Linked DNA regions of Cricetulus griseus. The protein of the gene in region 7 interacts with the protein of the main gene of each other region in a biochemical or structural test. Links are inferred from orthologs where the notes say so. Each region holds a gene or a part of one and is shown on either strand. Other genes may lie near its edges. The genes, in order: protein NPAT, microtubule-associated protein tau, Mybl2, Wee1, Mcm3, H1-5 and Cdk2.

Region 1 (3,500 bases), on a different chromosome or scaffold from region 7:
GTTGCCAATGTTGGTAGTCTAAGAGTCACCCAGCTGGTACTGGTTTTGAAGGCATGAAGGGGTCATGGAGAGCAACCGAGGCTTGGCACTGTATGGCAAGACTGGAGTCCCTGAAGAAGCCCAGGAGAGGCTATCATTGAAAGTGCAGCTCAGTTGCAGCAAGGGACCCCAGCAGTTTTGGAGATGCCAACAATATAGGATGACCACTCAGAATAGCAGCAGTGGTGGAGTGGAGCCAGCCATAGTCTAGAAGACAAGCTACGTGTGCTGCAGAGGGCAGAGCCTGAGAAGAGACCTAAGCCTTTTGGGTCACTTTGGAGGAGCCCAGAAGATTGTGAGTGAATCTCCGACACTGGACATTGAATGATTAATATTGTAAGTTTGGTTTTGCTTTGTTCAGATTATGACTACGCCCTGGTTCTTCCCTCCTGAAGTAACTATTTTTTGATTTGATAGGAGCATACAATTCAAACACTGAATTTTAAAAGTCCAGATTTTAAAAGATTGCCTATTTTAAAGAGAATGAATTATTATTATTTTTTAAAAAACTTATGTGTATTGGTGTTTTGCCTGTATATATATTCACGAGGGTGTCATAGCCCCTAGAACTGGAGTTACAGACAGTTGGGAGTTGCCATGTGGGTGCTGGGAATTGAACCTGGGTCCCTCTGGTAGAACAGCTAGTGTTCTTAACCACTGAGCCATTTCTCCGACCCTAAGAGAATCTATTTTTAAAGACTATGGGACTTTAAAATTTTGGAATGATTATATTGTAATGTTGATGTGTGATCTTTGGGAAGTATAAGAAAAGAAAGGTTATGGCTTAACAGTGATGTGTTTGTGTGTCAAGGTGATAATGGGTCTATTGTGCGGACTAGTTGTATGTCAACTTGACACAAGCTAGTTATCTGAAAGGACAGAACCTCAATTGAGAAACTGCCTCTTTAAGATTGGCAAGCCTGTAGGCATTTTGTTAGTAACTGATGTGGGACGGTCCAACCCATTGTGGGTGGTGCCATTCCTGAGCAGACTGAGCAAGTCAAGATAAGCAAGCCAGGGTGGGGGTCACTAGTAAGCAACACCCCTCTATGTCCTCTGCATCAATTCCTGACGCCAGGTCCCTGCCTTGAGTTTCAGCCCTCATTGCTTTTGATGATGAACTACTATATGGAACTGTAAGTGAAATAAACCCTTTACCCCACCAAAGTTGCTTTTGGTAATGGTGTTTTCATCACAAAAATAGTAACCACAAGAGCTAGTTCCAGGACAGGCTCCAAAGGGGTTCTACACAGAGAAACCCTGCCTCGAAAATCTCCACCCCCCCCCAATTTTTTTTTTGATCAAGTATAGTAATAAAAGTTAAGAATTCAAAACAAAGCAAATCTAAATATTAAGATGTAGGGCATTTAGTGATATTATCCTAAGCTCAAGACTCTCTGGCTAGAAGATCCTATTACACACTGATTATTCTAACAAAGACTGAAACTAATTAGGAACTGAGTAGTGACTGTTCTGTTTGAACTTATAGAAGAAAACTTGGATTCCAAGAGAGTACTTATAGCCCTTAACCATTTACTCAATGTATTATATCTTAATGGTACTGGGCAAAAAGAACATACTTTTGTAACCAGATTAATCTACCTAGGGAAAATTAGAGTGACCACATGGTCCTTAGGAGTCAACCACAAGAAAAGCTATAGTAACTTAGTCCTGGTAGTAAATGCACCTTTACCTAAAAGGCTAACTATCCCTGTAAGATCTTATTTTCACATAAACCTGCCAAGTATCCAGGAATACTTATTCTACTTCCCTTGGCTTCAAATCTTACCTCTTTTCTCTAGGTTTTAATGCAAGCTTCATATTCTTCAGCAATTCTGGCCTTTCCATCATTTGAAATAGATTCACCAAATTTAATGCTTAGTTGATAATATTTCATCAGATTTCATTGTCTATATATCAGTACAATGGGAATGTAGGTGAATATGTGTGAATTCTTTGATTGCTATGATAATTTTGCCGATTGTTAACTGTATGTAAAGCAACATACAATGAAGACAAGAGCCCTTGGGGAAGTCTCTAAAGACTTGAATTATTTTTCTCTCTTTTTAAAAATTTATTTAATTTTATTCATGTGCATTGGTGTGAAGGTGTCAGATCCTCTGGAACTGGAGTTATGGACAGCTGTGAGCTGCCATGTGGATGCTGGGAACTGAACCCTGGTCCCCTAGAAGAGCAGCCAGTGCTCTTAACCACTGAGCTCTCTCTCCAGCCCCAACTTGAATCATTTCTAAATAGCACCAGAACATGAGTAATTAGAATGGGTTTTATAGAATTTAAGTTTTCTTGAAAGTCTCTCTAAACTAGAGCCAGGAGGTGGCAGCACATGCCTTTAATCCCAGTACTTGGGGAGACAGAGACAAACAAGTGGATCTCTGAGTTTGAGGCCAGCCTGATCTATACAGAAAGTTCCAGGACAGCCAGGGCTACACAGAGAAACCCTGTCTTGAACTCCATCCTGCAAAAGAACCATGATTAAAGTAAAAATAAAGAAATACCCTGCTAGATCGAGTTGAAGCATATATATAGGTATGCAATGAATTAGGCTTTTTCTTTTTTACAGCTTAGTGTTGTACATTAAAAACTCGCAAAGAAAAAAAAAAATAAAGCTACAGCCTACCAGATTTAAACAAAATCTGGCTGAACTGGATAGCAAGAAAGATGCATAAGCAATTATTTGTATAGTATTTTGTCATAGGAACTATCTATATTATTACCTAGTCAGTGACTTCACACAAGAAAATTAAGATTGCAATCCAGAGAAGCTCCAAAATATGTGTGCACACACACATATAAATTATACACACATACATACATGCATCTCTTTTCATTCAGTGGTGGAGATAGAGTCCACAGCCTTGTACATGTTATACAAGTGCTTTTCCAATGAACTATATCCCCAGCTCACCTCCAATATGCTCTTAGAGTTACCTTGTGAAAAGTTTGGCGACACAGCTTGGTTGACAGTAAATACACTGTTAGACTTTGGTGGTGTCTGTAATTGCTGTGGAGGAGGCTGTGCAGTCATAGGTGCAGAATTCCCAGGCAATACCACTACATTAGATTGACTGACAGTTGGTCCCAAGGTTGTTGGATCAGTCACACAGGTAGCTATCAAAATGTTACTTGAATTGCCAAAGGCTGTGCTTGTGGCAGGCATCAACTGTATGTATCCTCCATCCTTAGGAACACATGGTGCAACACTGGCTGAAAATGCAATGCTATCTTCATTCTGAGGGTTGTTTACTACTGGTTCCTCAGGTTTGAGTACTAAAAGGTTCTGCTCCATTGAGCCAGAATCCCCTACTTCAACAGATACAACAGCACTCGCAGTTTCTTCTGAAGACAGGCATGTAACAAATTCTGCATTTTTGGCGGGAGATTTAGAAGACAGAATTATCGTTGGCAAGTTTTCTCCACCGATACTAGATACAGCGCTGCTG
Region 2 (3,500 bases), on a different chromosome or scaffold from region 7:
ATAGCAGGGAGGCTTATAGATGACAGAGGAGCTGAGAGATGGTGTCCTTCATAAGTGATGGATGATTTGTCCTCTGTTTCGTGATGAAGGACTCTGTCACTGACCTCTTGTTAAAATTTTTGAAGAAAAAGAGGAGGGCACAAGATGAGACATATTAACCATTTTATTATAGGCCCGGCAGAGTAGAGAGACTAAGAGAGAAGAGAAACAGGGTAAATGGCTGACCACCATGGCTGGTCGACGGAGAGAGAGAGACAGAGACAGAGACAGAGACAGAGATAAAAAGAAGAGTAGAGAGTAGAGAGCGAGTATAGAGAGAGTGAAGCAGGGAAGTTGGAACTTTTAAAGGCAAGACTATGTATGCACACTGAGGTGCCACGCATGCCCAGAGTCCTCACACAGGCTGTAAATGCGTGGTGGGTGATGTGGTGATAGCAGGTCCCTGTGCATGCCCTGACTGTTGTCAGGGGTCGGGGTCTGTCTCTTAAAGAGGTAGAGCCAATCAGCATTAAAGCCTGAACCTTTCACCTCTAGCCTAGTTCATCCCCCTTTAGGTGACTTGGACACTAGATTCCTGAGGAGGAGCTGGGGGAAACATTTTGTCAGGACCCTGTTTACCTTGTGCCCTTTCACCACTCCCTGTGAGTCCGTGTTTTAAAAAGGTTGGTCGGTTGGTTTGAGATAAGGTCCATGTAGCCCAAGCTGGCCTCCATTTGTACCTAAGGGTGACCTTGAACTTTTGATCCTCCTACATCTACCTTCTGTGTGCTAAGGTTGCAGATATGAGCCTTTTATGCAGTGCTGGGGATCGAACTCAGGGCTTGCTGTGTGCCAGGCAAGCCCTCTAATACCTGCGCTGCATCCTTTGATAGTCACTGAGTAGTTTACAGTACCCTGGAAACTGAAAAGAGGATTCTTCCAGCCCAGATCCTCCCACTGGGAGTTTTGATTATGCCTGGGTTCCTCATCAGTTCACATACACAGCAAAGTATGCTTACTGTGTGTGCTTACTGTGTGTGCTTACTGTGTGTGCTTACTGTGCATGTTTAGGGGCTCGACTCAACTTGAAGTCTTTAAAGGTCTTGTGGTACATCAGACTCCAGGACATCCCATTCAAAAATAATTTCTAGGGAGCATTTTCTTGAAGGTAGTAGAGGCCCAAGTCTGTTGGGTGGTATCATGGCTGGTAGCTGTCTCGGCCTCTGGTCCATGAGCCGGCTGGTCCTGAGTAGCCACACCTTGCTGGTTTCCCACTTCTGTCTTTGTTGCTGTCCATCCTTGAGACAGACCAAGGCCTGAGTAAGACACCTGATGAGTAGCTGTTCTATGTAGAATGCATTTATTGATCAGTTGTCATGTGACAGCCTTGACACTGGGACCATAAATAAATGTAACTGTGAACTCAACCTGGCATAAGGAAGGAGAGGGCCAGGCTGGAGTTGGGTCCTGTGATAGTGATCCAGCCACACTGAGTCCCACTGGGTTAGAGACAGAGATTTAGTGTCCATATTACTTGTGTGTGTCAAAAGTTACACATGGGTGTGGATACACATGCTCTCCCCTCTCCTTCCTTCCCCTTATCCAAATTTCTCTCCTGTGTCCCCAAAGCCCTTGAGATTATAGGTTTTGTTAGAAAACCGGAGAGTTGCTTGAGATATTTTGTTGGGACCTAGTAGGATGTTCAAAAAAGCTCAGAGTCACATAAGTATGGTGGCACATGCCTGTAATCTGAACACTTGGAAGCAGAGATCAGAGAATCAGAGATTCCAGGTCATCCTTGGCCTCATAGTGAGTTTGACACCAGCCTCAGGTACAGGAGACCCTGTCCCAAACAAAGCATCAAACAGAGCCAGAGTGCTGATTGAGGACCCCAGTGAGACTCAAGGGGACACCCCCATCCCTAACACACAGCCAGATACTCTGAAGAGGGTTTTATGTGAATATCACTTGACTGATCCAGGAAAAGGTGCTTAGACCGGTTGAGCTGGTGGGCAGTGTGTTGGGTGAGCAGTTAGAACAAGGGTCTCCACGCTCCTGCCTCACCTGAGGCAAAAGGCAGGCCATGAAGGCTGACCACAGAGCTACAAATGTCTGCAGTTCCATGTAGAGGAACCCATACACAGGTCAGTTAGCAAAGCTCTGTGCTGACAATCATAGCTTGTGAATTTTCCAAATCAGAGCAGGGCTGGAGGCTGGGTAACTCATGATGCCTACTGCTTTCACCTGCCCAGGAGAGAGAGAGAGAGAGAGAGAGAGAGAGAGAGAGAGAGAGAGAGAGAGAGAGAGAGAGAGGGACCACTTCATGATCCAGCCAAGGCCACCTGGAGCCCAGAATCTTCTGGGAGCTTGGGTTCTGTGAATGGTAGGTGAGCATGCATCAGATCCCATAATCACATGTTGGGTAGCCACAGAGATGCCAGCAGGCTCTGGACCAGCTGAATACCAGAGGGGACTCAGAGGTCACCAAGGAAAGAACACAGATGCCCAGAGAGGGTCATGCAGCAAGCTAGTGGCAGACAGATTGAGAGAACTTTTTTTTTTTTTTGGTTTGGTTTTTCGAGACAGGGTTTCTCTGTGTAGCTTTGGAGCCTATCCTGGCACTCGCTCTGGAGACCAGGCTGGCCTCGAACTCACAGAGATCCGCCTGCCTCTGCCTCCCGAGTGCTGGGATTAAAGGCGTGTGCCACCAACGCCCGGCTTTGGTTTTTTCTTTCTTTCTTTTTTCTTTTTTTTTTTTTTTTTTTTTTTTTTTTGGTCAGACCGAGAGAACTTTTATTCCAAGCTATGAGCCAGGCCCGAGATGGGTCCTGGTCCCTGTTGGGAGAGTCCTGGTACCTTTGAGGGGTCTTTTCTTATGGCAAGTACGAACTGTGGTCCCCCTTAAACAGTGTCTGTACCCTTGTTAACCATTGCCTCTTCAAGCCCTGAGGCTGTGAGGGTTCCCAGGCAGTAGAGAGAGCTGCCTGAGAGGTTCCTGAGCCAGAAACTTAATGTTCAAGTCCACAGAGCACAGGCGTTTCTGGCGTCTCCCTGTCACCTCTAGGTGAAAAACAGTCAGGTACTCCAGGCTTGTCAGTCACTCACTGTCCCCAGGAGCACCCCACCTGCCCAGTCCCCTCCTCCACCAGCTAGACCTCAGAAGCCCGTCCAGGAGTGGAGACCAGAGCCTGTCAAGGTGGGCCTGCCCATTCTGAAGCCCTCTTCTGCTGGATATCTCCACACAGAGTCAGAGAAGGTCGAAATTTTCCCAGAAAGTTTGCTTGGAGAGCCAGGGCGCCATGAAGGCCAGGCTCCAGACTCAGGGATCTCAGATTGGATCTGCCAACCGGTGCCTAACGTGTCTGAGGCTCCCCTCCTGCCACAAGGCCTCAAAGAGGCCACGTGCCAACCTTCGGGGACGAGACCTGAAGATGTGGAGAGAAGCCATCAGGCCTCTGAGCTACTGCAGCAAGAGTCACCTCAGAAGGAGGGATGGGGCAAAGACAGGCTTGAGAGTGAGG
Region 3 (3,500 bases), on a different chromosome or scaffold from region 7:
GCCCAGGAGCTGCCGGGCTTTCTCTTGCATGAAGAGCTGGTCTTTGGTGCCCCCACAGGCCACCATCTTCCAGGCGCTGGTCATCTGGGAGGAGATGAGAGTCAGCTCAGTAACAAACCCTGGTGGTGGGTCCTGGCTAGTAAGGGTGGGACATTTCTAGGACCCTCCCTCTGGATACTGGAAGCCAGTTTGTGCTCCCTCCATTTTCTTTGGAGATTTTGGGGAAGTCATGCCTCCTCATTTGTGGGCTTAACAGTAAAGCAGGAAGTTGAGACAAGAAAAAGTGTGCAGCACCTGATGGCCTCATGGGAAGCCACAGCTGAGCGGCTGAGGACACTGTGATACAAGGGACCGGACTAACTGCTGTCAGCAACAGACAGAGCACTCAGCAAACCAAATACAGGTAATGACCTAGTGAGGGGTTAAAAGCCCAGCCCTCAGGAAGGAAGAAATGGGGGCATCTCTTTAGGTGAAGTCAGCAATTGCTTCCTGTAGGAAGTAGCACTTGGGCTAAGATCCTAGAAGTTAATCAGGCAGTCACAGCCACAGGAATACATCAGAATAGTGTAGCCCTGGGGTGAAAGGACAGCAGGACCCGTTCATAGCAAGACTCACAGGGGCAGGGGCTGGAATGTGGCCCCGAGACTTCTGGGTGGCCACCACCTTCTCAGGCTTGGCCTGCAGGAACCCCTGGTTGAGCAGGCTGTTATCCTCTTTGCTGCCTGGCAGGGTGAAGCTAGAGGAGCTGGATGGGACACTTGTTGGCTGAAATCAAAACCAAGTTAGTCACTACTTTGCCACAAGATCTTTGCCAGGAGAAAACAAAACAAAACACAAACACAGCCTGGTATCCTGGCACTGCCCCCGCCCCCCTTCACCCCATCCCTTCTGATGAGATCTGGAGCAGGATATTTGCCCTCTAAGCCTCAGTTCCCTTTCAGATATGGAGTTTAGACACGAACCCTTAATCCTTTTACTTATAGGATTAAAGGAATTATCTGTGAACTGATCGTTTCAGAGCCCAGCAATGCCAGCTCCTGTCACGTGAGGCCACACATGCTCCAGGCTTCCTGGTCCTGAAACACTCAAAAGCATCAAGTGAAATGTGCCATGGGCCCATAAAGCTCTGCTCATTGGCTTGCCTTCATAATGTTCCACTTGGAGCTAGGGGGCCAAGAAGCCAAGTTCACAGGCTAATTCTTTCCCACACCCATCTCCACAGCACAGCTCATCTCCACAGGCCTCACTTCACTCAGAGTGGGTGAGGTCCTGGGCTCAACCCCCAACACTGCTTAAAACAGAACAAAATACGTCGTGCCTCAAGTAGAGGCAGCCAAAGGTCTGATTGAAGGGAGCAAGTCCCCCACCTGACAGGGTTCCCTGGGGAAAAAAAGCTTTTCTAGAAGGACAACAGCCCTACCCATAAGATCTGTTTAGCAATTCATGTCCTCATCCATGCTCCCACCCGCTCCTCACTCACTCACTGCCTCTCTACTGGTGCCAGGTGTCAGGTCCAAAAGAAATTCCAATTCCCCAAACTCCAAAAGATGAGCTCAACCTAGACTATAGGAGGATTTCTGGCAGTTAGATAAAAGCCAGCATTCCTCAGGAACTTGTGGAGCTGGTTCCTCTCTACCAAAAGGAGTCATTTCCCTTACCTCAGGCAGAAGAGCTATGGCTACCCATGGTGCCTATCAGTCTATCAAAGCTTATTTATGCTGGTCTCCAGGCTCCTTCAGTATCTCAAGTACCTGCTACTTTTCAAAGCCCTTTTCACTTCCTCCTTTACCCCAGAATCCCAGTTCCCTCCTGGCAGCTATTCATTGTCCTTAGAATCCTGTTATTCTCTATGTTTTTCTAATCTCTATGCCCTGCTATCCTCCCCTCTCTCACAGATAGTCCTGGTCATGTCTAGTCTGCTGTCCATATTCAGTCTATACTGTTTCCCTCTCTCTCATATCCACAATAAAAAACCTCCCCCTTAACCATACAATGGAACTGCCATACCACCAGTTTATACACCAGGTCAAGCCAGGCCATTTCCCAGTAGCACAGGTGTGTTACTGCAAGGAGCCAGTAACACACCTGTGCTCTTAAAGGCAATGACTTCTATGCCCAGAAGAGCAAGGCTGGCCTGTAGGCCAGACAATAGCTGCTCAGGGTTGATGTGCCTCAAACACCCCGCTGTGCTTAGGGCAAATGTGGTTGACACTCAGTGGGAAGGGTGGTGCTTGGGGCCCATAGCATTCTAGCAATGTGTCTCCTGCCAAATCAAACCTAGGAAAGACACATCAGAACTCTCAGTGAGGCTCAGGCTGGGTGCCCAGACCTGCCACTTCCTGACATTCTTCCCAACACTGGGGCCAATTGGAGAACCAGAAACCCACCCCATCTAAAGGGTCCTCTCCATGATCAGACAGCTCCAAAGGCAGAAGGTTCCTAAAGACCTGTGAGGCAGGTGGTCACTGTCAGCCCCTTACCAAGGACAGAGCTTTGGGCAGTGAGGACATCAGCTTCCCATCTTCATCCACAATGTCAAGAGCCAGAGACTTTCGGACTTTCTTAACAGGGCTTCGCCGCAGCTGAGGGTTAGGGAAGAAAAGGATGGTTAATGTGGGCAATCGGGTTCCCCATGGCCAATGCCTCAGTGACCACAGTCACTGAATCAGGACTTTCGAGAGTAGAATCTTCAAGGTATAGCCAGTAGCTCTTACTCCAGGGATATGGGAAGACCAGGAGACCTTGGCCACATTACACTCTGACCCAGGTGGTCAATACCCTGCCAGACACTGTGGGTCCATCCCAGCCTCACTGCCCAGCTTTGACTATCAACACTCCCTAGGGAGAGCAGTCTAGGGGGAAAAGCACAAATGGAAGGAGAGATATGAAGTGCCACCTGTGGCTACAAGAGCTAGATAGTGCAACAGGAAGGAAGCAGACCATCAGCCTGGCATCTCACCAGGTGGCCCTGTGAAACCCCCCACACCCTACTTTCATGACCAAGGCACCGCTCTCTTCCTAGCTCACTCTAGACTACCGTCTGAAAGGAACACCGTGTCCCCCTATACTCCCTCATCCCACAGGAATTCCCATGGCCACGAGGTGTGTGCTGCATGCCTGTCTCCATCCACTGAGCTCTGGGAGTCTCCCTGACCACTTCACACCCATCACCCCCGCCTAAGCCACTTCGGAAGGTCCATTCACAATGTTGGACGAGAGAGTGCATCATTTTAAGCAGAGGAGGACGGACAGGTTAAGAAGCCAGGGCCCTCTGAAAGGCTCACCCCCGTAAGGCACTCCACAGGTCCTCCCTGACCTCAGGGCTGACTTTCTTTCTATGCCAACTACCTAGGCAGAGGGAGAGTCCTCAAACCACTCACCCCAGGCTTTCGCTTCTGCTTCTCAGGCCTCACATCATCCTCAACAATGAGCTCAATGCCAGCCTCAGAACGTAGCACTTCCTTCAAGTCCTCTTCCAGGTGTGGAGTCTGGGGCTGTGG
Region 4 (2,872 bases), on a different chromosome or scaffold from region 7:
GTTTTTTGTTTTTTCCAGACAGGGTTTCTCTGTGGCTTTGGAGCCTATCCTGGAACTAGCTCTTGTAGACCAGGCTGGTCTCGAACTCACAGAGATCCGCCTGCCTCTGCCTCCCAAGTGCTGGGATTAAAGGCGTGAGCCACCAACATCCAGCTTTCTAGGGCTCAAATCTAGGACTTGATGATTCAGTAGAGCTGTTTCTGTCTCTCCAGTGCTGAGATCACAGACACAAGAGTATTGTTGGCTCAAATGTAAGGTGGTAGTTAATACTATTACTCAGTTCATAGCTATATAACTAATTTAAAATAAAGAGTTCTTATTTTGCAAAAACAAAAACAAAAACAAAAACAAAAACAAAAACAAAAACTATGTGCCCAGATTTTCACAAGTGGGCTAGTAATAAACTTTTTACAATTTCAGGCCCTCATGTTTATGGGGGAAAACCTTACCAACTGAACCACTACCCCAACCCCACTTAATACTCATAAAGTACATAATTACAAAGTTTGACAAAAACCCTAAATGATCTCTCAAAATTTGAGAATCAATGAAAATGAGAGTAAAAATTAAAAAAAAAAACCTCCTTACTTCTGCAAAAGAGAATTTTTGAATTTTTCAGCATTCAATTCTATTCGTAACTGCTCTGCACTCTTTCTAGATGCAGACAGCAACACTGAATGCTTCACCAGCACCATTGCTGAAGGCCTTCTTTCTGGATCAGGATGAATCATAACCTGAGAAAGAAAGTCAAAATTGTGGTTACACACTACTACTGGGCATGGAGGCACATGCCTTCCCCACTCCCCCACCCTCTCCAACCCAAGACACGGTTTCTCTGTGTAGCAGTCCTGGTTGTCCAGGAAGTTGCTTTTGTAGATCAGACTGGCATTGAACTCACTGAGATGGGTCTAATTCTGCCTCCTAACTGATGGGATTACAGGCATGCACCACTACTGCCTGGTGGAGGAACATGCCTTTAATCCCAGCACTCAGGAGGCAGAGGCAGAGTTCAAGTCTAGTCTAGTGTACAGCGTGAATTGCAGGATAGTCAGGGCTGCACAGAGAAATGAAAAAACCCAGTCTTGAAAAATCAGAAAAAAAACTACTACTTATGACCAGGTGTTGTGCACGCCTTTAGGTCCCAGCACTCAGGAGGTAGAGGCAGGCAGATATTTTGAGTTTGAAGCTAGCCTGGTCTACAAAGTTCCCAGGACAGCTAGAGATACATAGGTCCTGTCTCTAAAAAAACCCAACCAAACAAAAAAGACTACTACTTAGTAAAATGTTGAGGTGTTAACAGAGTGCTTCACATAAAAAACACTCACTTTTAGCAACTCTGTCAACTCCTGGGAAAGTACTTGTGGAATCCGAGGTAATCGACCCTGCCTGATTTCATGCCATTGGTCTCCATTTCTGGGAAGAGGTTCAGCACCAGCAGCACATATGACTGTGAGAGCAAGAGCAAAAATATCTGCTTTCGGGAGATGGCTATAGTTCTGTAAAATTTAAAAGAGGAAAAAAATAAGATAGTGGTCAAAATAAAATATAACACACCATGATGGTCTATGTAAATTCACATTAGAAACCTTTCCAATGCCACATTTAAGCATCCATTCAGAAAATAAGCTGCTAAATTTAGGAAGATGGTTATTTTTTTTTTTAATTACAAATAATAAACTTAGAGAGGGGGTTAAATACACATCTAAAAATAGATGCTGCTTTATCAGTTGCCCAATGACATGCTCAGAAGCACGTATCATGCCTTTGGGGATGCATATGCAGACAATGTGCATGGAGAGAAGAGCAAGGAGACTAAATAATTAGACTTTATGTGACACCCTATGTCATAATCTACCTTTCATTTCCCTAGTAAATACAACATTTTCACATTGTTCTCTATACATGATCATTTGTATAGGAAAAACTTCTGGAGCTAAAAATCCTGGGTCAATAGAAATGTGAATTTTAAATATCAATATAGTGACAGTCTGGTCTCTAGAAAGGCCATGCAACTTTGAAGCTCCATTCGCAGGGTAAAGAACAACTTACTATGCCATCAGAATCCTTGCCGGATTAAATATCCCTGGGTGATGGTTTAGATTTTCTACTTTTAGTCTACTAAGTTGCTTAATTTTCAACATATTTGAATGCAGTCTTCTGTCAATTGCTTAAGTGGTACAAAGCAAATACTATAAATCAAGGAGAAATAAATTACCTCTTGTAAAACTTCATTTGCTAGAAATCGACTATCACCTTCTTCAACTTGTGGACTAGAGATTCTTGTCACATGTCCAAGATCACCTAGATGTATTAGAAAAGTACAGTAGCTCAGTGGAGTACTCACCTAACATGCACAAAGCCCTGGCTTGGTATCTATAACTACAGGCAACACATGCCTGTAATCCTAGGACTCAGGGTAGAGGCAGCAGAATCCTGAGCTGTCTGGGCTACACAGCAAGTTCAAGGAAGGATACCTGAGATACATGAAATCCTGTCTCAAAATATATAAACATGGGCTGGAGAGATGCTTGCTTCTCTTGCCGAGGACCAAAGTTCATGCACATAGTAGCTCACAACTACTTGCTACTTAAGTCCCTGGGGATGTTTCTAGCCTCTTTGGGCACCAATCATATACATGGTATATTTACATTAAGGCAAACACTCAAAAAGAGGATTATGGAGATGGCTCAATTGATAAAAGTGTTTGATTTTATCAAGAGTAAGGACCAGAGTTCAGATCCCCAGAACCCATGCAAAAGCCAACAAAAGAGCACAAGTTTGCAAACTCAGAAATCCCTCAAGATGGGAGGCAGACACAAGAAACTTCCAGGAGTTCACAGGCCAGCTACCCTGGTATCCAAAGCAGTGCACA
Region 5 (3,500 bases), on a different chromosome or scaffold from region 7:
GCAGGAGACCCTCAGTGCAATCTCTGCGATGCTCACAGCAGGCATGACGAAAGTTCGTAGAGAATAAAGGAGGAAGCCAAGGGCTGAGACAAGCTTTTTTCCTAAGTTTGCACTGTGGCGTCCCAAGGCTCTGAGACACGGGTCCTGGTCACAGGGTCTCCCGTGAAGTCAGTGGGAGCTCCTGAGGAACGGCCGCACACACTGCAGCTGGACGGGTCACGAGGAATTGCTCACTCACCTTGTGGCGTTTCCTTCTCTGCTTCACTGAAGTTATAAGGGTCAAAGGACTCCCCATCCGTGGCATCAGTCTTCCTCCTGAAATAACCATAGCAGCCAAGAAACTGAGAAGGCTTCAGGGAGCCACATGCACATGTAACAATGTACAAGCAAACTGCAACACCAGGCATAGGCCTGAACAAACCACTAAATTTTCTGTAAGACATTCTCCAGACCCCACTGCCCAGTGCTCTAACAAATGATTAGGTAGGAGGGGAAAAGCGGCCTCAAGAACATTTGAAGACCTAATGATGGCATCACTTCTGCTATTCCGCATCCCTTATAGGAAACCATATTGAACGTCACAGAGGCTCTCCCCTCCTCTCCTGTGCCTGACTACCATCATCTGTAAACCCTACAGGGCCCGGAGGATACTGGTGCCAGCAAGCTGTAACCCCGCCCCCCACAGAGCCATGTCCCACTCTACCTCTTCCGCTTCTGCTCGGGGTCTTCCTGGCTCTTCTCCTCTTCATCTTCCAAGTCTGATTCATCCTCACTTGGCTTCTTACGTTTCTTCTCCTTCTCCAGAACCTAGAAACAAGCCAAGGGATGTCACTGGTGCCAAAACTGAGTAAGCAACCTGATTTCCAAGTGTCTGAGACTTATCTCTATCCTCTCGGGTCTACGTCCCAGGACCAGAGGCAGGGAAAGTCTAATAGCCATCTCTCACCAATGCTGGAGGCCTTTCACACAGTAGATACTCTATGTTTACTGAGTAAAGAGACATGTTTGAGGTGTCCAAACCATATGGTTAAGGGGAGAACAATCATTTCTTTATAGACCAGGTATTTAGTTGAAATTTAACACCGCTTCCAACTTTGTAAAGAGAAATAAACAGGAAAAGCATGGCAGAACCATAACTCTAAACCTTCAAGGCCTACAGTTCTTCAGATGAGCAGCAGGCAACAGACACAAGACTCATTTTCTTATTTTCTCTCCCTTTATTAAAAATAAAATCTCTTCTCACACAATATGTCCTGATTAGTTCCCCTTTCTCTACTCTTCCCAGTTCCTCTCCACCCCCCCCCCACCCGTATCCACCTGCCCTCCTCCTGTCTCTCACTAGAAAAGAGCAGGCTTCTAAGAGATAACAACAAAACATGATAAAGATATAAGAGAAAACAAAGACCATCACATTCAAGTTGGACAAGGCAAACCAACAGAAGGAAAAGAGGCCAAGAAAAGGCACTAAAATCAGAGACCCACTACTCATTCACACACTCGGAGTCCCATAAAAATACTAAACTGAAAGTGATAATATATCTGCAGAGACCCTCGTGTAGACCCTTGTAGGCCCTGTGCTTGCCGCTTTCAGGCAGTCTCTGAGTTCATATGCACAGCTGATTTAGAGGCCCCTGTTCTCCTGGTGTCCTCCATTCCCTCTGGCTCTTCTACTTTCTGCCTCCTCTGAGGGACTCCCTAAAGGCTCACCTTCTTGAAGTAAGCATACTGAACCAGCTCCACGGCTTCCTCCGCATCCTGTAGTTCCACAGTCTTGCTCATACGGGCCTTCGCATGGGCTGTGGCCAGTCGAATCAGAGTTTCCAATGTCCGTGCTGTAACTGGAGATGTCTAGGGAAGAAAGCATGAGGGAATTTATTACTTCTAAGGAAATGTAGCAGTCTCTTTGAATAGGAAAAGAATTAAAGCATTACCAGAAATGTTCAGGAAGCCCAAGGTGTGTGTGTCTTCTTGACAAGTGGGCGCCATTTAAAGTTCAGATAGTCACCAGTACCCATCAAACATCACCCTCAGTCAAATCAGTTTCTCTCTCCATTGAGCAATAGAGAAAACCAAGATTCACGGCCACCCAAGGTGCTGAGAATATGTGGCGGTTAAGTGCTCAATCCCAAACACGGCACTTATATCATCTCTTCAGGTGCATGGAACAAGGGGAGAGAATAAAAAGAATAAAAGAATCGGAACACAGGCAGAAGAGCTGTGAAATGCCGGCTTTAGGACATGACACAAGGCGACCACAAACTCACATCAGCTGCCGATGTGGGGATGCCTGGACTTAGTCTTCACAAGACTAGGCCATTGACAGACAGCAAGCAAGGCATAGATGGGTAGGGACTTGAGAGGCCCTACTCACTGCTGAACTGTTTGTCACCAGTAGATTCAAGGAGTGGGGGAACCATTGTTTTCATGGCTATCCACTGGTGACCCCACCAAGTACCGATGGATAGTAAGAATCACACAGATAATCCTGGTTAAACTAAATGGAAAGCAAAAGTCATTAGACACTGGTAGGCAGAGAAGATGGTAAATAAGGGTGTAAGATAAGGGGTAATTAGAACACATTATACATGCATGAAACTGTCAAAAACGAAATTACCTTTTAAAATTCAGAAAGTTAAGAAAAATGGCCAAGCTGGGCATTGGTGGCGCACGCCTTGAATTCCAGCACTCTGGAGGCAGAGTCAGGCAGATCTCTGTGAGTTCGAGGCCAGCCTGGTCTCCAGAGCGAGTGCCAGGATAGGCTCCAGAGAAACCCTGTCTCCAAAAACCAAAAAAAAAAAAAAAAAAAAAAAAAAAAAAAAAGGAAGAAAGCAAAGAAAAATGGCCAAAGCAACCAAGTGAGAGTATTCAGGAAGAGAGGAAGGTTAGAGGAAAGAGGAAATTAGCCATCCTTCCTCACTGCAGGCCCACAATGCACGGGGAGCTGTTCTCATTCTGTCACTCCTCTTAACTAAGTACTTTACAGATGAGGACGTGGGAACCAAAAACCGAATCTGTCAAAGCGGAGCTCTGAGCACAGGTTTCTGTGAGTCGTGTACTTACAGAAGGAGGAGCCTGACATACCCCTACCATGTATGTAGCTAGCTCACTGTAGGGGTGGTAAGTAAAATAAAACCATTGTCTTTTCTAGCTGCTACGATGTGAACAGGACCATTGGCCTGATCAATCACACTGTGCGTGCTTTAAGTTTCAGGGACTTCAGATGGGTCCTGTCATTACCCAGCCTTCCCATATGGGTAAAGAGACTGGCCTAGGCAGTAGAAGGCTGTATGCGATGCCAGGCTGCAGACCACCTGCAGAGCTCTGAGCAGGCACAGGGATCACTCTCTAGTACTTTGTCTCCCATTACAGACTTTTCAGTGCCGTATGCAGTTTGCTTCTGCAATTTCTACCCACACCAATCTTGGTAAGAAAATCTCCAAGTGCTTGAAGGCACTAATGTAGAATACCATGGGCTGGGAGATGAGACGTTCTAATTCAAG
Region 6 (2,612 bases), on a different chromosome or scaffold from region 7:
TAGCTGTAAATGAGTTGCGGCAATTGAGTGGAGTGACTCTCCAAACGTCATCGACTGGCTGTCCAATCGAGGCAAGGTTGGTACAAAACCATGATGCAACTGGGTTAGGAAATACGATTATGTACAGCCAATCAATTCGGCCTCTTTTCGCGCCGCGCGTTGATTTTTCAGTTATGAAAAGCTAACTGCAGTCTAAGTGAACTCTGGAGAGCTACATTCCTGACGAACAATGTGTTCACAGAACAGAGGGTAAAGATAGACGCGCGCAAAGGACAAGACCTACTAGTCCGGGATGGGAGTGGGAGGATTAGCCGGGGGGGGGGGGGGGAGCGCGCACAGTGAGGAAAAAGGCGGGTGCCCGCGTGGACATGGCAACTACTCAGCAGTACGTGAGGGCAGGAGTACTCCGTGCTAGTGTTACCTGAATTCCACTGTGGCACCCAGATGGTTCAGGTAGTTGGCGGGACTTAGAGGGTTAGGTCAGTGTACAGCTACATTCACCGAGCTCTCTGGGTGGCTCTGAAAAGAGCCTTTGGGGCTTGGTTGCTATTAGAAGCAAACCTACTTCTTTTTAGAAACAGCCTTCTTCGCCTTAGCAGCTTTAGGCTTAGCTGTCTTAGGCTTGGCAACTTTAGGCTTGGCTGCCTTTGGCTTCACAGCCTTGGGCTTTGCCGGGCTCTTGGCTGCCTTCTTAGGCTTAGCTGCCTTGGCCTTCTTAGGGCTCTTGGCCACTTTCTTCACTCCAGCGGCCGCAGGCTTCTTTGCTTTCTTTGGAGTTTTCTTCACGGTCTTCTTGGCCCCCGCAGCCTTCTTAGGCTTTTTCGGGGTGGAACCTGAAGGCTTCTTAGCCTTGGCGGCGCCTGCCTTCTTGGCTTTGGGCTTGGCCTCGCCGGAAGCCGCCTTCTTGTTGAGCTTGAAGGAGCCGGAGGCGCCGGTGCCCTTGGTCTGCACCAGGGTGCCCTTGCTCACCAGGCTCTTGAGCCCCAGCTTGATGCGGCTGTTGTTCTTCTCCACGTCGTAGCCACCTGCAGCCAAAGCCTTCTTGAGCGCGGCCAGGGACACGCCACTGCGCTCCTTAGAGGCAGACACAGCCTTGGTGATGAGCTCGGACACCGGGGGACCGGTGGCCTTGCGCTTCGTTGCGCCAGCCTTTTTGGTCGCCTTCTTCTTTGCGGGAGACTTCTCCACAGGAGCCGGAGCAGCAGTTTCGGCAGGAGCAGTTTCAGACATGGCGAGATTGTAAGCTACAATAAAAGCAAAGGAAAACTAACTCAAAGAGCAAATTTTGCTGTGCTCCTTAGCTCCGACTCCGGGCTTATATAAGCCAGAGCTGCGCTGTGATTGGTGGAGCGTCCAATCCACCGCCCTTTGGCCGCGCGAAACAAGGTTAGAATCCCAAATTGTGTTTGTTAGTCCCCAAATTTTTACTTACTACTGAAAATAAGGGCGCAGAAATTGGCAGTTTGGTGTTCCAAAGGAGAACAGCCTTCGGGTTCACATACCTATGTGTGCTTTTTTTGAATCACAATCAACAGACTAAAGATATTTTTTTTTAAATCCCTCCAGTGTTTCAGAAGAATCCTCAAAGGAGAGGACATCCTGATAGTTACTTGCATATTTCCATAAACGTATACGAAGTATGCAAGGAACATTACTTAAAAGGATTTGTCCACAAGTCCCGCCTTTAATTTTTGCAAGAGTAAAAGAAATATCTTTTTTGGTTTGGTCACAAACTTTGTTTCTGACTGTAGCAAATAACACAGGTTTGGCTGGCGGCAGACTGAAATTAAACATTTTAGATATTTCTCTTTAAAATAGGTCCGGCTTCTCGTACTTTCTGCACATTGCTATCTTTAATGGAGATTGAAAATTTTTCCATTGTGAAACTTTCTTCTTTGAAGTCGGGAGTTTAGAAATCATTGACTTTAAGAGTTGTGGCAATGGATTGGCAGGTAAGAGCAGCTACTGCTCTTGCAGGTCTGCTTTAGTTTCCCAGCACTCACAGGGCAGCTTGCAACTGTCTGTAACTCCAGCCCCGGAGTATCTCAGGCTTTCTTCTCAATTCTCCGGATTATCAGGCAAGTAAGTGGTGCACATATACACATGGAGACAAAACCTCATACACATAAAGCTTTAAAAAGTAACTCAAATATTTAAAAAGAAGTCACTACCTTCAGAGGCAAACCAATTTACTTCTAAGTCAAAATAAATTAGATATGGATCTGACTTGCTTTTGTTAGTTGCTAATGGTATCTGAAGACAGAAAATACTAACTAAAGATAATTTGCGTGAGGAAAATTTTAAAACTTTCAGGAAATTATTAGAGTGACCCTCCAGTCCTCAAATGTAGTTGGTTGAGATGACCAGTGAGAATTTCAGAACATTTAGCAAGCAGGACAATCAGGCATGCTCTTAAGTAGTCAATGCCAATATGGGTATTTTTTGTATATTGAGATGCCAAGATGGGCAATATTTTAGAATATTATTAAGGGCCTGGCAATTAGAGTTTCAAAGAATTTGAGAAAAATAAAGCAATGGAAAGAGAAAGGGGGTGGTGAAGTTTGCTCTAGGAGAGAAGGTGAAGCTTACTATGGTGAAAGGTAACACAGGCT
Region 7 (4,063 bases):
AGCACCAGGCAGGCATGCAATACAGACATACATGCACTTTACTCAGACACTTTAAATAAATAGGTAAAGACCCTTGGGTTGAGCCGGGTGTTTGTGGCCACGCCTTTAATCCCAGCACTTGGGAGGCAGAGGCAGGCGGATCTCTGTGAGTTCGAGGCCAGCCTGGTCTCCAGAGCAAGTGTCAGGATAGGCTCCAAAGCTACACAGAGAAACCCTGTCTCAAAAAACCAAAAAAAAAAAAAAAAAAAGACCCTTGGGTTGTCAGAGATTCTATTTACCAAGGAACTCCTGCCCTGGTATGAACATCTCCCTAAGATTCTTAAAGAAGAAAAATCATAGGGGGACCTACCTCATGAGTATAAGTACGAACAGGGACTCCAAAGGCTCTTGCTAGTCCAAAGTCTGCCAACTTGATGGACCCCTCTGCATTGATAAGCAGATTCTGGGGCTTAAGGTCTCGGTGCAGGACCCGGTGAGAATGGCAGAATGCTAGGCCCTGGAGCAGCTGGAACAAATAGCTCTGACAAAGGAGAGAGGAAGGTTTGTTCAGTCACCACCGTTAACAGATACAACTTGCTCTTTGCCCTCAAAATGCAGTAAAGCCTTAATCATGTGAGATGATAACTCCATTACGTATTTTTGGGGGATTTTGTTTAATTCTTTAGATTGCATATTTATTTATTTATTTATTTATTTACTTATTACTTATTTATGGGGGGGCATGGCACTGTGCAAACGAGGAAATCAGGACAACTTGCAGGAATTGGTTTTCTTGTACTATGTGGGACCTGGGGATGGAGTTCAGGTCATCAGGTCATCAGATTTGGAGGCAGGTGCCTTTACCTGCTGGGCTATCTTGTCAGCCCTGTTTGTTTTTTATGATAGTGCCTTCCTGGCCTGGAACTGTAGGATAGGCTTACAAGTGTAGCCTAGGCTGTCTTTTTTTTTTTTTTTTTTTTTTTTTTGGTTTTTCAAGACAGGGTTTCTCTGTGGCTTTGGAGGCTGTCTTGGAACTAGCTCTTTTAGACCAGGCTGGTCTCAAACTCACAGAGATCCACCTGCCTCTGCCTCCTGAGTGCTGGGATTAAAGGCGCCGCCAACGCCCGGCCAGGGTGTCCTTGTACTTACAGACATCCTCCTGCCTCAGCCTCCTGAGTGTTAGGATTACAATCATGAGCCAACACACCTTACAACACAACCACACATTTAATAGCTACTTCTTTCATTGTATTTTTCAGCCTGTCAAGGATAAAGACCAGATATTACTTAATTTTTGCATCCCTTTCAATACCCTGTGCCTAGCACATGCCTGTGTTAAATAACTGTGTCAAATATGTAACTGCTGATATTCATTAACTCCAGGAGTGAATACAGTTCTGGTTGTCTCCCACATCACAGGTGGAACTTTTTTTTTTTTTTGAGGAACCCACCAACTACCCTCAATCCCATTTTCTGAGTGGTATCTGATCTGCCTGAGCTGTCTAGGTGGCTCGCAGGACCTTGGTTATGATTCTTCGGTCCTTCCTATGGCTAATGACTATAATGAACAGGAAGAGACCAACAGACACAAATAAAAGGGGTCGGGGAGTGTTGAAGCCTGAGAAACAAGCCAAAATATAACCAGTCTGAATTACCTGCCTCTAATTTCCCCAAGATACCTGAGCTGGAATTGAGGAAGGTTACCTTGATGAGGGGAAGAGGAATGCCAGTGACAGCAGAGGCATCCATAAATTTCTTGAGGTCCTGGTGCAGAAATTCAAAAACCAAGTAAAGCTTATTTTCCGTGTGGATGACATCTAGCAGCCTGCAAGAGAAGGTTCAGGAAATGCAGTTGAGGGAGAGAAATTCTAAGGCTAAAACAAACAGAATTCACCTTGGTGGTCATCTCTCAGACTACACTTACTTGACAATATTAGGGTGATTAAGTTCCTTAAGCAGAGAGATCTCTCGGATGGCAGTACTGGGCACACCTTCAGTTTCACTTGGAGAGGTTGGAAAAACACAGATGAGAATATGGTTACAAACATACTCTCTTAGGGAGACACCACCCCCCAAAACTCCCTTAGGAAGTCAGAAAGGAAAGGTACTGTCAGTAGTTATTCCTGGGTAATTGGGGTGTGGCTTTTAGACATATTCAAGGTCATTATTTCCTCTTTTTCCAGTGGAAGGTAAGTAGAGCCTCCAGGTGAATGAGAAGCAGAGGAAAGGTAATAGGGGAGGGGGGTGAGAGTAGCTCCCAGCCTCCCCAGAGGGCCAGTGAGTCTCAACTGCCATTCTTTTGAAAGAGGGTGAGGGTTCTAAGTATGGGGCTGGAGCAGGGGGGACAGCTCTCCATTCAGAAAGGAATTATTCTCCTGGTTCGTACATAACCCAACTCTATGAACACTCCTGGACCCTACCTCACCCCCCCCATCCCCCCCACTTTCTCTTCCCAAGTCTCCCGGCTTGCAGATTTGGGAGCTCACCGGGTGGAGCACGAGAAGAAAGTTTTCTCTGAATTCTAGCCCTCGGACAGTCACCGAGAGAGAGCGTCTACCGTCCGCCAACCCACCCCTCACTTCAGGAGTCCCTCCCGCTACCTTCCGGTCCGGTCCGGGACGGCTACCCGCCTGTTGGGGTAGGGGGTTGGGGGGGGGCAGCCAAGAGGTCCCGGGGAAGGAGTTCCGGCTCCGGAGGCCACTCACGTGTCGAGCCGGATTTTCTTAAGCGCCACCACTTCTCCCGTCAACTTGTTTTTGGCTTTGTACACCACTCCGTACGTGCCCTCTCCGATCTTCTCCACCTTTTGGAAGTTCTCCATGGAGCACTAGTGCGGCGGCTCAGGCCCCCGGGAGCGGGGCCCGGGAACCCTGAAGAAAGCGGGCCCAACACTCGGGGCGGAGGACCTGGGGGCCAAGGTGAGCACCGCAGCCCCAGCTCTGGATGGAACGCAAGCAAAGCTCAGCCCTTGACAATTTATCCAACTTGAAACAATGTTGCCGCCTCCCCCACCGCTCCAGACGGCCAGCCGAGGCCCCGCCCCTCCTTCCCGCGTTTCCCTGGCTCCGCCTCCCACCCTTGGGATTGGTCAACGTCACGAGGGCGGGCCGGGCTCCGCGCTCCCGCCGCCGAGTCCCCGCCCTGGGCGGGTGAGCCGAGTGGCCGCAGCGCAACTTTCCCGCAGTTCCTGGTTTGGGCTCCGGCGGCCGGAACTGGTGTTGTCTGTGGTCTAAGGGTTTCCTTACTTTCCGCTCACAATTTTCACCATCCCTTAAGTGAAATTAAATTCTAGCTGGCCAGGAGAGCCTCCTTTGGAAAGCAGAAACCTGGGAAATCATATATATATACATATCATATATATATATATATAATATATATATATATATATATATATATATATATCAGTTATGTGTGTGTCTGTGTGTGTTTTTTTCACAGAAGCAGCAGATCGTCTGGAGCTGAAGTTATAGGCAGTTGTGAGCTGACGCTGAAGCCCAGCTCTGATCTTCTGCAAGAGCTACATAGGCTCTTAACTCCTGAGCGGTCTCTCCAGCACTCCCACCCCCTTTTTGAGACAGTATCTCATATTGCAGCCTGGCCGGCTGCAATGCGTTAAAAATAAAATAAAAATTGAGGTTGACTTCGAACTCGCAGAGATCGTCTGGCACTTCCTCCGTGTACTATCGTAAGAGGCACAAGATCAGGGCTCTTACTGTAAAGGATTCTTAGGCTAGATAACAAAGTCCTTTCTCAGCCTAGCTTAATCCTGTCTCACTGTTTTAGTGGTTCATTGGTTGGTTTTGTTGCTTCATTGCTGGGAATGTACACTCTGCCTCTTCGGACAGCTTTTAGATAAAGGTGTTTGTATCTGTCTTGAGGGTTGCTTGCTTTGACTCAATTCATGGCTTCCCTCTCTTGCTGAAATGGCTGTGAAGTACAGTACGTGAGTTGTGGCTGCCCATCAGTCAACTCTTTTCAGAATGAAAGTGTGTGTCAGGGTGAATGTGACCCCAGTGAAGCCGGAAGCTGTCATTGAGCGGTGGGCTGAGAAAAGGAACGTCCAGACCCTGAAATCAGTTCTGGT

What was found.
Region 1: of the proteins of Cdk2 (region 7) and protein NPAT, one has a biochemical effect on the other in vitro, tested with the Homo sapiens proteins (2 studies listed by BioGRID, with this or other methods). The link is inferred for Cricetulus griseus from reciprocal best matches to the Homo sapiens genes CDK2 and NPAT.
Region 2: of the proteins of Cdk2 (region 7) and microtubule-associated protein tau, one has a biochemical effect on the other in vitro, tested with the Homo sapiens proteins (2 studies listed by BioGRID). The link is inferred for Cricetulus griseus from reciprocal best matches to the Homo sapiens genes CDK2 and MAPT.
Region 3: of the proteins of Cdk2 (region 7) and Mybl2, one has a biochemical effect on the other in vitro, tested with the Homo sapiens proteins (3 studies listed by BioGRID). The link is inferred for Cricetulus griseus from reciprocal best matches to the Homo sapiens genes CDK2 and MYBL2.
Region 4: of the proteins of Cdk2 (region 7) and Wee1, one has a biochemical effect on the other in vitro, tested with the Homo sapiens proteins (3 studies listed by BioGRID, with this or other methods). The link is inferred for Cricetulus griseus from reciprocal best matches to the Homo sapiens genes CDK2 and WEE1.
Region 5: the proteins of Cdk2 (region 7) and Mcm3 form a complex in vitro, tested with the Homo sapiens proteins (2 studies listed by BioGRID and IntAct, with this or other methods). The link is inferred for Cricetulus griseus from reciprocal best matches to the Homo sapiens genes CDK2 and MCM3.
Region 6: of the proteins of Cdk2 (region 7) and H1-5, one has a biochemical effect on the other in vitro, tested with the Homo sapiens proteins (15 studies listed by BioGRID). The link is inferred for Cricetulus griseus from reciprocal best matches to the Homo sapiens genes CDK2 and H1-5.

Annotation. Positions count from the first base shown.
Region 1 is NC_048597.1:165,283,363-165,286,862, reverse strand, and holds part of protein NPAT, read right to left. Parts: coding exon 2,989-3,500; intron 1-2,988. UniProt on the Homo sapiens protein: Required for progression through the G1 and S phases of the cell cycle and for S phase entry. Activates transcription of the histone H2A, histone H2B, histone H3 and histone H4 genes in conjunction with MIZF.
Region 2 is NC_048600.1:117,328,253-117,331,752, forward strand, and holds part of microtubule-associated protein tau, read left to right. Parts: intron 1-3,224; coding exon 3,225-3,500. UniProt on the Homo sapiens protein: Promotes microtubule assembly and stability, and might be involved in the establishment and maintenance of neuronal polarity.
Region 3 is NC_048599.1:16,439,242-16,442,741, forward strand, and holds part of Mybl2 (myb-related protein B), read right to left. Parts: intron 3,495-3,500; coding exon 3,381-3,494; intron 2,583-3,380; coding exon 2,481-2,582; intron 766-2,480; coding exon 616-765; intron 85-615; coding exon 1-84. UniProt on the Homo sapiens protein: Transcription factor involved in the regulation of cell survival, proliferation, and differentiation. Transactivates the expression of the CLU gene.
Region 4 is NC_048596.1:90,563,126-90,565,997, forward strand, and holds part of Wee1 (wee1-like protein kinase), read right to left. Parts: intron 2,302-2,872; coding exon 2,216-2,301; intron 1,497-2,215; coding exon 1,326-1,496; intron 735-1,325; coding exon 589-734; intron 1-588. UniProt on the Homo sapiens protein: Acts as a negative regulator of entry into mitosis (G2 to M transition) by protecting the nucleus from cytoplasmically activated cyclin B1-complexed CDK1 before the onset of mitosis by mediating phosphorylation of CDK1 on 'Tyr-15'.
Region 5 is NW_023276807.1:25,181,539-25,185,038, reverse strand, and holds part of Mcm3 (DNA replication licensing factor MCM3), read right to left. Parts: intron 1,849-3,500; coding exon 1,708-1,848; intron 808-1,707; coding exon 704-807; intron 316-703; coding exon 239-315; intron 1-238. UniProt on the Homo sapiens protein: Acts as a component of the MCM2-7 complex (MCM complex) which is the replicative helicase essential for 'once per cell cycle' DNA replication initiation and elongation in eukaryotic cells.
Region 6 is NC_048596.1:244,136,036-244,138,647, forward strand, and holds H1-5 (histone H1.5), read right to left. Parts: upstream 1,303-2,612; 5' UTR 1,231-1,302; coding exon 562-1,230; 3' UTR 501-561; downstream 1-500. UniProt on the Homo sapiens protein: Histone H1 protein binds to linker DNA between nucleosomes forming the macromolecular structure known as the chromatin fiber. Histones H1 are necessary for the condensation of nucleosome chains into higher-order structured fibers.
Region 7 is NW_023276806.1:129,199,410-129,203,472, reverse strand, and holds the start of Cdk2 (cyclin-dependent kinase 2), read right to left. Parts: upstream 2,801-4,063; coding exon 2,685-2,800; intron 1,982-2,684; coding exon 1,904-1,981; intron 1,805-1,903; coding exon 1,684-1,804; intron 521-1,683; coding exon 350-520; intron 1-349. UniProt on the Homo sapiens protein: Serine/threonine-protein kinase involved in the control of the cell cycle; essential for meiosis, but dispensable for mitosis. Phosphorylates CABLES1, CTNNB1, CDK2AP2, ERCC6, NBN, USP37, p53/TP53, NPM1, CDK7, RB1, BRCA2, MYC, NPAT, EZH2.